2 linked regions of the Cricetulus griseus genome follow. The protein of the gene in region 2 interacts with the protein of the main gene of each other region in a biochemical or structural test. Links are inferred from orthologs where the notes say so. Each region holds a gene or a part of one and is shown on either strand. Other genes may lie near its edges.

Region 1 (4,629 bases), on a different chromosome or scaffold from region 2:
ACTCTAGAGGAGCCTAGGCCACCAGACTGGGTACATGGAAGAATGCTTACTTAGACCCTGGGGCTAAAAAGCAGAAAAATGCAAAGCAACACGAAAAGTTCAGTCTGGACACAGCCAAAACAAATAGCTAATCTCAGTGGAGATGGGCCACAGTGTCTGTCCTCTAATACCCCAAGTGCAAACCACACAGGACCTTGTTAGTAGAATCTTTTTTATTCAGAAAAAAAGAAAAAAAAAAAAACCCAAAAACAAATTTTTTTTCCAAACACACACAGGAGGGGGTATGGGTAAGGGGAGGTATCTGTCTGTCCAGCCCCAGCCCCCAGCCCATGTGGTTTTGGCAGCAATAAGGGAAATGGGGTAATGGCCCAAAAAATAATGGTGTGTGTGTGTGTGTGTATGGAAAGAAGGGGTGCAAAAGCTGAAGGGGTGGTGGGGGAGGGGACAGATGAGGTCAGTACTGGGAACGCCGCAGGTGGGAGGCCATTTCATAACATTTCTTGTTGATCAAACCACCGTGGACACCTTCTTTGCCCATCAGCAGGACTAGCGCTGGAGGAAAGAGAAAGGAGGCTAGAACCCAGGTGTCAATTCAACCCTGCCAGCTGTTCAGCAGCTGTCCAACCCTAGGGGCTGTAACCTAACCTCATTCCTCCCAACCAGCTCCCCCCCCCCACAGACAGGCTGTCAGTCACCCTAAAACAATAGAGCTTTTCAAAGGAGGGGGAGAAAAAAAAAAAAAAAGAACTAGCAAAGTAAAGGCAAAATTTAGAGGTCACAGGCTGCAGACTGCTGTGGCTAGGAACCACTGTGGATGAGCTTTCTACCTCGCTTTTACAGAACTCAAGGCTGGAGCCAAATGCTGACTTAAGATCTCAACCATCCACACCAAGCAAACTAATCTCAAAAAAGCTTAAGGCAGGAAGGGATTTAGGAAGTAATGTAATTTAGTTTCTTTACAAGATGGGGAATCTTCAGCAGAACCCAAAGGACTCTCCAAGGTTCCCATATCCAGCAGACTGCAAGTATAATACTGTTTTGCAATCTTCACCCCAAATGACTAACAAAAGGAGATACATCAGGGAGTTCAAAACTAGAGAACCGGTCAAACTGAGAAACTCACTTTTGGCAGTCATGGTGACAGTAACATTGAAGGTGGGGGCTCCTCCGGTGCTCTTGGTACGAAGATCCATTGTAAATTCCCCATCCTGCAGCAGTGAGTCCCGGATCACAGAACATTTCTGGCCCCCGAGTGTCAGCCCATTCACGAAAAAACTTGACCGGTCTTTGCCTACCAGGACACCAACCTCAGCTGGCTAGAAGAATCAGAATCAATCACCTTATTAAGTTAGCGCACCGTCTAACTTGTTTTCCAAGAACCCACTTATTTATCCTGGAGTTGGGGGATCAATGTGCTTCACACACACCATCAAAACTTGGGGGGGGGGGGTTGGAGCAGAGAAAGATCGTGATCCTAAGGCCTGATAATGGGACCACGGAAGGAGGATTTCTCTGAAGACTCAGATCTTGATGTGAAATAGGAAAGCAAAGGAGAAAAACCTGGGTACCAAAAACCAATCATTGATCCAGGAGAGGAGCATCTGGATGCTCAGAACAGTCCCTTCAGGAAAAGCAGAAGCGGAGAGGGTGAGGGAGGGGGCAGGGAAGGAGGAGAAGCAACTTTGTCCTTATTTGGTCAAAGGTTCTGCAGGCGTTGTTAGGAGCCCGGACGCCTGGGTCTCCCGGTAACCAAGAGTTTAGGTCCAGGTATCTACACCCCAAGATGAGGAAGCCGACCCCTGGAAGCTTTCTAAGACAGTTGAAAAAGTTTTAAGGGTTGGAGGATTAGGCTGTCTTGAGTCTAGACATCCCGGGGAACCTTTCTCCTTCTCCCCCCTTAAACCCCAAACCCCTATATCCGGTACCCTCCCGCCCGGAAATCCCCTTCCCCCCCATTCGAACTTCCGCTCCCCCTCCCCACTTCCGGGCAGTGTGGCCAGGGAAGGTGGTGGTGGGGACAGCTGCAACCTTACTCCTTCACTTTTACCATCTCAGAACTTCTCACAAAGTTCCCCTACTCCAGGCCCGGCCGGATGGCGGGAAGGGAGGGTGAGGGGACTTCCGGGATCGGCCTCACAGGAATGTTGAGGCTAACGTGCAGAATTGGGGGTGTGTGTGTGAGTGTGTGGCGGCCTCGCCCTCTCTAACGGAGTTGGGAGGGGCAGGGAGCTCACGGAGGGAGGTCGGGCAAGGGCCCAAGGCCACGCGCCTGGAGCTCCCACCAGCATAAGGGAAACAATGGTCAAGGGAGCGCGAGCAGACGGCCCAAAGGGGAGCCGAGGCTGCCCAAGCCCCCTTATCAATCATAATCCCAGGCTAAAATTGCAGCGCGTGCCTGCCCCGCCCTGGAGGAGGCGGAAGTGGGCCGCCGCACCGGGCGGCGCGCCCCTCCCCGCCCTGTGCCCCGGATGTAACGCCCCGTCGCAGAAAGCGGGGTGGCGGGCGGGATGGGCGCCGCCGCCGAGGGGCGTAGGGCTTGGGGGGCGACACGGGGACCTAGATTCATGCAGCCGCCATTCGCGCGGCTTCCAGACCGAGGACCAGATCGCGGCCCTCTCGCTGCCCTCGCTAGACTGCGCCCGCCCCCACCCAAGTCTCTCCCTGAGGGTCTGAGCCCGGCCGATGCCCCGGACCGCACAAGCCTCGCAGTACCGTAATGCTAACGAAGGTCTTCCCGGGGACGGCGGCCCAGACGGAGGGCGAGTCCTTGTAGCCTACGATGGCCGCGTCCTGACAGGTCCCGTCCGCCATGAGGCTGTCGATGTAGGCGTTCCACCCGGCCATGGCGCTGCTGCTGGGGCTGCTCTGCGGGCTGCTGCTGGGGCCGCGGGCTGGGCTCGGGCTGGCGGGCGGGGGGAGGCAGAGAGCTCGGGGCACGCGCTGCCGTCCGGAACGCGGCTCTGTTAGCTGTGCAGCAGCCCTCGCACCGCCACTTCCTGCTCCTCCCCCCCCCCTAGATTTTTATTTGCAAAGGGCGGCGGGGCGGGGCCTGCTCCCCATTCCCTCCCTCCGCCCCCCGCCCTCCCCCCGCCTGGCCAGATAGCGAACTTTTGCAAATGCAATTTTAAGAAGCCCTCCCCACCCCCCCCTTTTTGCAAAATGTGCCGAGTTCGGTGGAAAGCCGTGCTGGAGTGGTGGTGGCGGTGGTGGTGGCAGGAGCGAGGTTAAGGTTGGGGTTCGCTCCGGTTCATACTGAATGCAAACCCCTTCGGCATAAAAGGGGGAAGTCGGGAGAGAAAAAAGGGGAATTAGCGAGGTTGAGCAAATTAAAAGTGGGTGCGGGGAACCCAGGGTTAAAACGAATGATTCCCTCACAGACACACACACACACCTCCGCGGGAGGGCAGGAACGGCGGGCGCGGCGCGGCGGCGGCGCGTGCGCCCGCGCCTGCGCCGGGGCGGCGAGGGGACGGCGCGTGGGGCGGTTGGGGCTAGCGGCTGGCTGGCTGCGCGAGCGCGCGGCGGCCGCCACCGATGTGGACCTTCTCTTCCTCGGGTGGAAGGCGCGTCCCCACCAGGCGGAGCGGGCAGCGGCCCTGGGTGCCGCGCTGCTGCCCTCTCCGCTTCTTAGTTTTTATTTAGACGAAAAGGGAGCAAAACTAGATTTGATATAACTCTGGTCAGTCTCAGTGATAAAGCCCCCCCCCCCCAACCAGGGCACCTGTCCCAACCGTTTGCCGGGGACGCACATGGGGCTTATTCGAGTGCATCCCTATATTCCAGGGGAATCACTCCTCCGCTGGATCCGCTCCAGCTCAGAGCCTCGCCCTACTCCTGAACCCTCTCCACGGAGGTCACTGAACTGGGGCGCCAGCCGGGTGACACAGGCGGGACTCTTTTTAAGGCGGAAGAATACGAAAGTACCCAGGATGGCAACTTTTACAAGAAAGGGAGAAAAGTCCCTTCTACTTTGCGCCCATTGGCCTTTTCTTCCCCAAAACCCGTAAAACTTTTGCCAAGTACTGTGTGCGTTCAGCTCACTAGCCGCCCAGCGCTGGTCGGGTGGGGTGGGGTGGGGTGGGGTGGGGCGGGGGGTCGGGGAGCGGACAGGACCGCAAGCCGGTGTGGCTGGCGGGAGTCAGTGCGTCACTCGGGACCCTTGCCGCCGAGGGGCTCGGCCGCTTCCGGTCCCTCTGAGGAGGGGCGCCAGGGTTTGTCGACCCCCCCCCGTGAAAGGACTTGGTTCGCTGTGTCTCTGGAGCCCTGTTGTCCACCCCCAAAACCTCGGCTTCCCACGCCCCCCGAGCCCAGGTTCTTCGACAGCCGCGTGGCTGAGTCACAGGCGGCGGGGCTGCGCCGGGGCACGTGGCGGCGCTCTACGCCCGCCATCCCCTGACCTCCGGCCTGCGCGCCTCCCGCCCCGGGGTGGAAAAGTCCCGCAGGGAGCGGCACGAGATAAGGGGGAGGGGCGGGACTGGGACTGGGACGCGACGGCAGGTGGGGACCCTAGGGTGGAGGCCAGGAGGGCGACCCCGAGGGGAGGGCAGACGGGGAGGAGCGACCTGGAGCTGGCCGGCGAGTGAGTCACCCGCCCCAGCGCCGGCGGGTGAGAAGCCGAGGCTCCCGGGG
Region 2 (4,939 bases):
TGCACATTTGAATCTTCCCATAAAACTTGATAAAAACAGAAGATCAAGCTCTACCTCAGACCAAGAAATGTAATTATCAAGAAATTATACAACTAACCACACATCTAATAATTTCTACCATGATTTCAATATACATACATGTGAAGATGCAGGTAAAACCTCTGTTCCCTAACAAAGCTTCCTAATTTAACAAGCACTTCCTTTATCAACCTGTTAATATTATTAAGGTATTGCTGATTCTATGAAGCTTTCATTTATCTACTCTCCCATCCATCTCCCTGAGTTCCCATCCTTTTATAACAGGTTTTCAGACATCTGTATATATTCCTAACCAACACGCTCACTCCATCTGACAGCACTCTAACAGGTAGGAAAAGCAAATACAGAACAGGAGAGTGAAGGGGCTTAGCCAAGCTCTGAGCTTACACACCCACATCTCCTGACTACAGACCTAGAATCCTGCTTGTGACAGGCGCCTCTTGCATATTTATTTCTTAAGTACTGACTTATTCATCAGTTTATTTGTTGTTTCCTTCATCAGACACTAAACTCCCCGAGGGCAAGCATCAATCTTGACTTTTGACCTCAACGTTCAGTTACTCAATACATGTTTATTTGATGAAACAAGGGATGAAGAACTTGCTTAAAATCCGGCACCGTATAACTAGTTTCATGCCTTGACTTCATAGACTGAGCTCTGAATGTATCAGTTTACTACATTTGATCTGACCTGTAACTCTACTGCTTGATTTATGAGACAATGCATTTCACTGTTGTTTTAAACAAAAAAAAGGGAGCCTAAGTCTATAAAAATTATTCCAAAACATTGAGTTTACATTGCTCTCGATTGAACCAAAATCTCCAAAGTTTAATTTTCACAATTTCATCTTACAAGAGAAGGCAACAACAATGTGGTTTTAAATTACAACAATTCAAAAGGTAAAGTTGATTAATAATATATGACGTAAAGAAATTCATCGCTGACTGCTTGCAACCAATTCAGCAACCTACTTATGCTTACAGTGAGCCATGCTATCTTTGTCTATCAAAATACACTCCCACGTCTGTCATTTCCTTGAAACCCTGGGTAAACACTACAGTTAAGCTCTGAGCAATGAGTACACTAGGCACATACATGCAATGTCCTCCATGCCTGGAATTCATGGGTCTGGTATGTGAACACAGAAAGCTCCTTAACTTTTGGTAGATTGTACACTAAATGTAATAAACCAACAAAGTTGGCCCTGTTTGCAGGCAGCTCATTAAAAAAAAAAAAAAAAAGCTGGAGACTTTCCCAAACTGAAAATATGCAAAACATTGTTTTTAGAAACTCACATTTTAATGATATCCATTCTATGTAAAAATGAAGTAGTTATTCCCTTAACACCACTTTGACAACCAAATTATTAAGGGGGAAAAATCCTCAAGAAACAACATGCTGTAGTGGAAAGTACAAAGGGACTAGACATAGAGTTCCAGTTACATTCCTAAATTACTGTGACTTGGGGCCAAGGGCTCCACTTTCTCTTTTGTTTAAAATACTATATACCAGGAAGGACTTCTTTCATTTTTAAAGTTGTCTCCCCAGCTTTCTTTCTTTCTTTCTTGAAACTGTTTACTACTTCTGGTTGTAGACTTGGTGTTCTTTAAAGTCTAAATTTTTGAACAAGAAATACATCTTAAGTCCAGAAGTAGATATAAAAAGTAAGCTCATAAAGTTAACAATTAAGCTGGTAACTTTCCAGAAACTGTCTACTCTTAACTTCTTAAGCAGGTGTAGTCTGGTTTGACATATCTAACATTGCTAAGGAAAAATATAAAATGGTCCTACTCAGCTGAAACTTCTCAGCGTGTTTCCTGGGTTCCAGGGGCACACACTCGGCGGGTGTTAGCAAGAGACTAGTCAGTATTTTAACAATCCCCCTTTCAACTCAAGAGTCACCTCAGTAAGACCAAGATAAGGCCTTCACCAGGGAGAGCCTTCCAGCCCCAGAAGCGAGTCGTGAATGCCTCCGTCAACAACAGGCATTCCCCCTTCCCACAGAACTACTCGCTCCCAATCCGCCATCTGGGGTTGGGATTGGCCCCACAGGACCAAACTCAGAATCACTTTTGACTCCAATGGCCAGGAACTAGTAGAAACTGCGGCGTCTCTATGCATGGCTGCGGTGAGAGCAGCACTCTCTCTTACCAATGCAAGGAAGAAAAAAAAAAAAAAGAACAAAAAACCAAAATAAAACAAAAAACAGTGGGGCGGAGTGCAGAAACTAGGCCTAGGCGCAAACGCTGGGGAAATAAGCCCTGCTTCTTTGCAGTGGGGTGCAGGCGCATTTCCTGCCCCTTCCTCGCTCTGAGCCGGTGTCCGGGAACCTGCACTCCACTTTACCCTTCTCACGGAATCCTAAAGGGGGGATCGATAAAGCCGATGCGCGCTTCTCCCCTCCTCCCCGCATCTATTCACTCCTAAAGCCCCGAGCATTGTTAACGAAGACAGCCCAGATCCACAAGTAGGAAGTAAAGCAAGGCTGGGCTCCCGTTGGGAGATGAAGCTACTGATGCACCCAGAAAAATTCCCTTGTGGTCTAGAGTAAAGTTTGAACCTGCAGCAAGGGCGCGGACCCCGACTTGGACTTCTGGGCAGGCCCGCAGAGGTGACACTCCCTGGTTCTCCAGTAGCTCAGGGAGGCGGCTCCCGGCCGGGCAGGGCCGGGCAGGGCGGCCTGCACCCGGGGCAGCACCCGGGCCCGGGCGAGCGAGCTGGAGGCCTGGCCCGCGGCGGGACCCCGGCCGCGCGCGCCCGCCCGCCCCCTTCTCCCTCCTAACTCTCTAGTGCCCCGGCCCGAGCCCGCCCGGGGACGCGGTGGGTGGCGACAGGGGTCTCGCTCGGCTCACTGACCACACATTTCTTGCCGAGGAAGGAGAAGAGCGACTCGTTCTCCTGCGGGGTGAGCAGCAGGGAGCCCACGTTGGTGACTCTCCGCGGAGGCTGCTGGCCCGAGCTCATGGTGTCGCCGGCGGGGTGCCGCGTCCAGGGCTGTCTCCTCAGGAGGTGGGCGAGCACTCACTCACTCGGTCCCGCTCGGGGTGACAGGGGCGCGGGGCCGGCGCTCACAGGCGGCGCAGCATCCCGCCGCTCCTCCGCTGCGCGGAGGCCGAGGGAAGGAAGGAAGGAAGGAGCCGACGGCGGGCGAGCGCGCGCGGACTGCGTGCCGACAGGGAAGCTCCCGGCTCCCGCCCGGCTCGCCTCGGGCCGGATGGTCGTCGTCCTCGCACTCCGCGGCGCGGCGGCGGCGGCGGCGGCTAACGCGGCGACTCCTCCTCCTCTGCGGCGGCGGCGCGGCGGCGGCTGCCGCACAATCCAACATGGCAGCGGGGGCGGGCGAGACCACGGGACGCGGGACGCGGGGGAGCGCGCCGGAAACGCGGCGCGGCCGGACACCCCTCCTCTCGCTTGCTGGTAGCCGGGGCGTGGCCGCGCAGGCCCCACCCCCTTCCGGGAGCCAGCGGAGGCCCGCGCACCCGCTCAGCCCGGACCGGGGCCGCCTCGCGCGTGCGCAGAGTCGGACCGAGGCGGGGCTGCAGAGTCCGGCGGCGCACCGCCTTACCGCAGCGCGCACCGGGCCGCGCGTCCTCCCGCCCCAGTGGTGGCCAGGGTTTGACATTTAGCGAAGTGGGACTCTCAGGCCTCCTGGCAGGTCTAGATTAGCTGCAAAGGTCGGCCAGCGTGGTTGCGGGCGGAGCCTCCATCAGGTGCCCCCCGGTTCTCGAACTCACGACAGGCTGCCACTGGGGGCGGGGCGGGGGCGGAGGAACAGACCTTTGCCAGGATCAGGGGAGGCGTCTTCATAGATGTCAAAATCGGACCCGCTTTCAAAAGACGTCCACCACCCCACCCCCCCCGCCTGGCGGATCTCGTGGGATAAGTGTGTGTAGTATTTACACTCGAATTTTCCGACGAGCCCCGAATGCCACTTTTTTTTTTTTTTTTCTTATCTTGTGAATTGGAAACTAACCCTCTCTCCATCGTCCTCAGTCTCGAATTCCTGTACAGGATTATGCCTTACCTGTTTTATCCTTTCGAGTTAATTTTTCTAGTTGCTGGGACCTAGGCCTGGGGTGCACTCAGCCAACTGATCTACATTCCCAGCACAAGTCAATACGGAGAATTCTTCATGACTGTGTTTCAGAATATCAGAAGTTATTATAAAATAATACGGTTGAATGGAAAACTAAAAAAAAAAAAACAGTATTTAAAAACTTGGGCGTATAGAAATGATAAATCAGATTGCATCGAGTTATATAAAATGTACATTTCACCATTCTTCACATTAAGGATAATTAAGGATACACTTTATCACATAAATTGTACTAACGATGTTCTCCAATCATTCAGTTTCAATTAAACACTTGCATATTAAAATTTTATGACATGATAACTCTCAATGCATTGGTAAACCATTACCAAAAGTAATGAAAATATAAAAGTTTTCAGGCTGCCTACAATCCCCATAGTGAAATTAGGTGACCAGGAAGAAGTCTACAAAGGAAGATGAGATCTTACACTCTTAGGAGTACTCACATAATATGTAGATATTTCAAATTAAACAAATCATAATTTTAAGGGGACAATCTTTAAAAGTGGCAAAGACAAAAAAAGTGGCGAAGACTATAAGATAATTAGGCTTTAAAAAGGCACAAGTAGAGGTGCAAACCACTTTATGTCAGTTTATGTTTTATTAAAAATACACCTCTTATTAACTCAAAGCACAGTGACAACTGAGATCATCAGAAATTCTTGGGACATGATTCAGCCGTGATGTGAATTTTAGTATCCAAAAACATAGGCTGCAGTTGGTTCAAGGCTAAAGTTCCTGTTAGATCTTTTCTGTCTCACTTTCTTCATCTGTAAAATGAAATTGCTCTTTCATAATGTTAATAT

Evidence for each region. The genes of interacting proteins can lie anywhere in the genome.
Region 1: the proteins of Wasl (region 2) and Pfn1 form a complex in vitro, tested with the Homo sapiens proteins (2 studies listed by BioGRID). The link is inferred for Cricetulus griseus from reciprocal best matches to the Homo sapiens genes WASL and PFN1.

Annotation. Positions count from the first base shown.
Region 1 is NC_048600.1:84,463,915-84,468,543, forward strand, and holds Pfn1 (profilin-1), read right to left. Parts: upstream 2,996-4,629; 5' UTR 2,845-2,995; coding exon 2,713-2,844; intron 1,317-2,712; coding exon 1,124-1,316; intron 553-1,123; coding exon 455-552; 3' UTR 206-454; downstream 1-205. UniProt on the Homo sapiens protein: Binds to actin and affects the structure of the cytoskeleton. At high concentrations, profilin prevents the polymerization of actin, whereas it enhances it at low concentrations. By binding to PIP2, it inhibits the formation of IP3 and DG.
Region 2 is NW_023276806.1:202,726,750-202,731,688, reverse strand, and holds the start of Wasl (neural Wiskott-Aldrich syndrome protein), read right to left. Parts: upstream 3,208-4,939; 5' UTR 3,005-3,207; coding exon 2,897-3,004; intron 1-2,896. UniProt on the Homo sapiens protein: Regulates actin polymerization by stimulating the actin-nucleating activity of the Arp2/3 complex. Involved in various processes, such as mitosis and cytokinesis, via its role in the regulation of actin polymerization.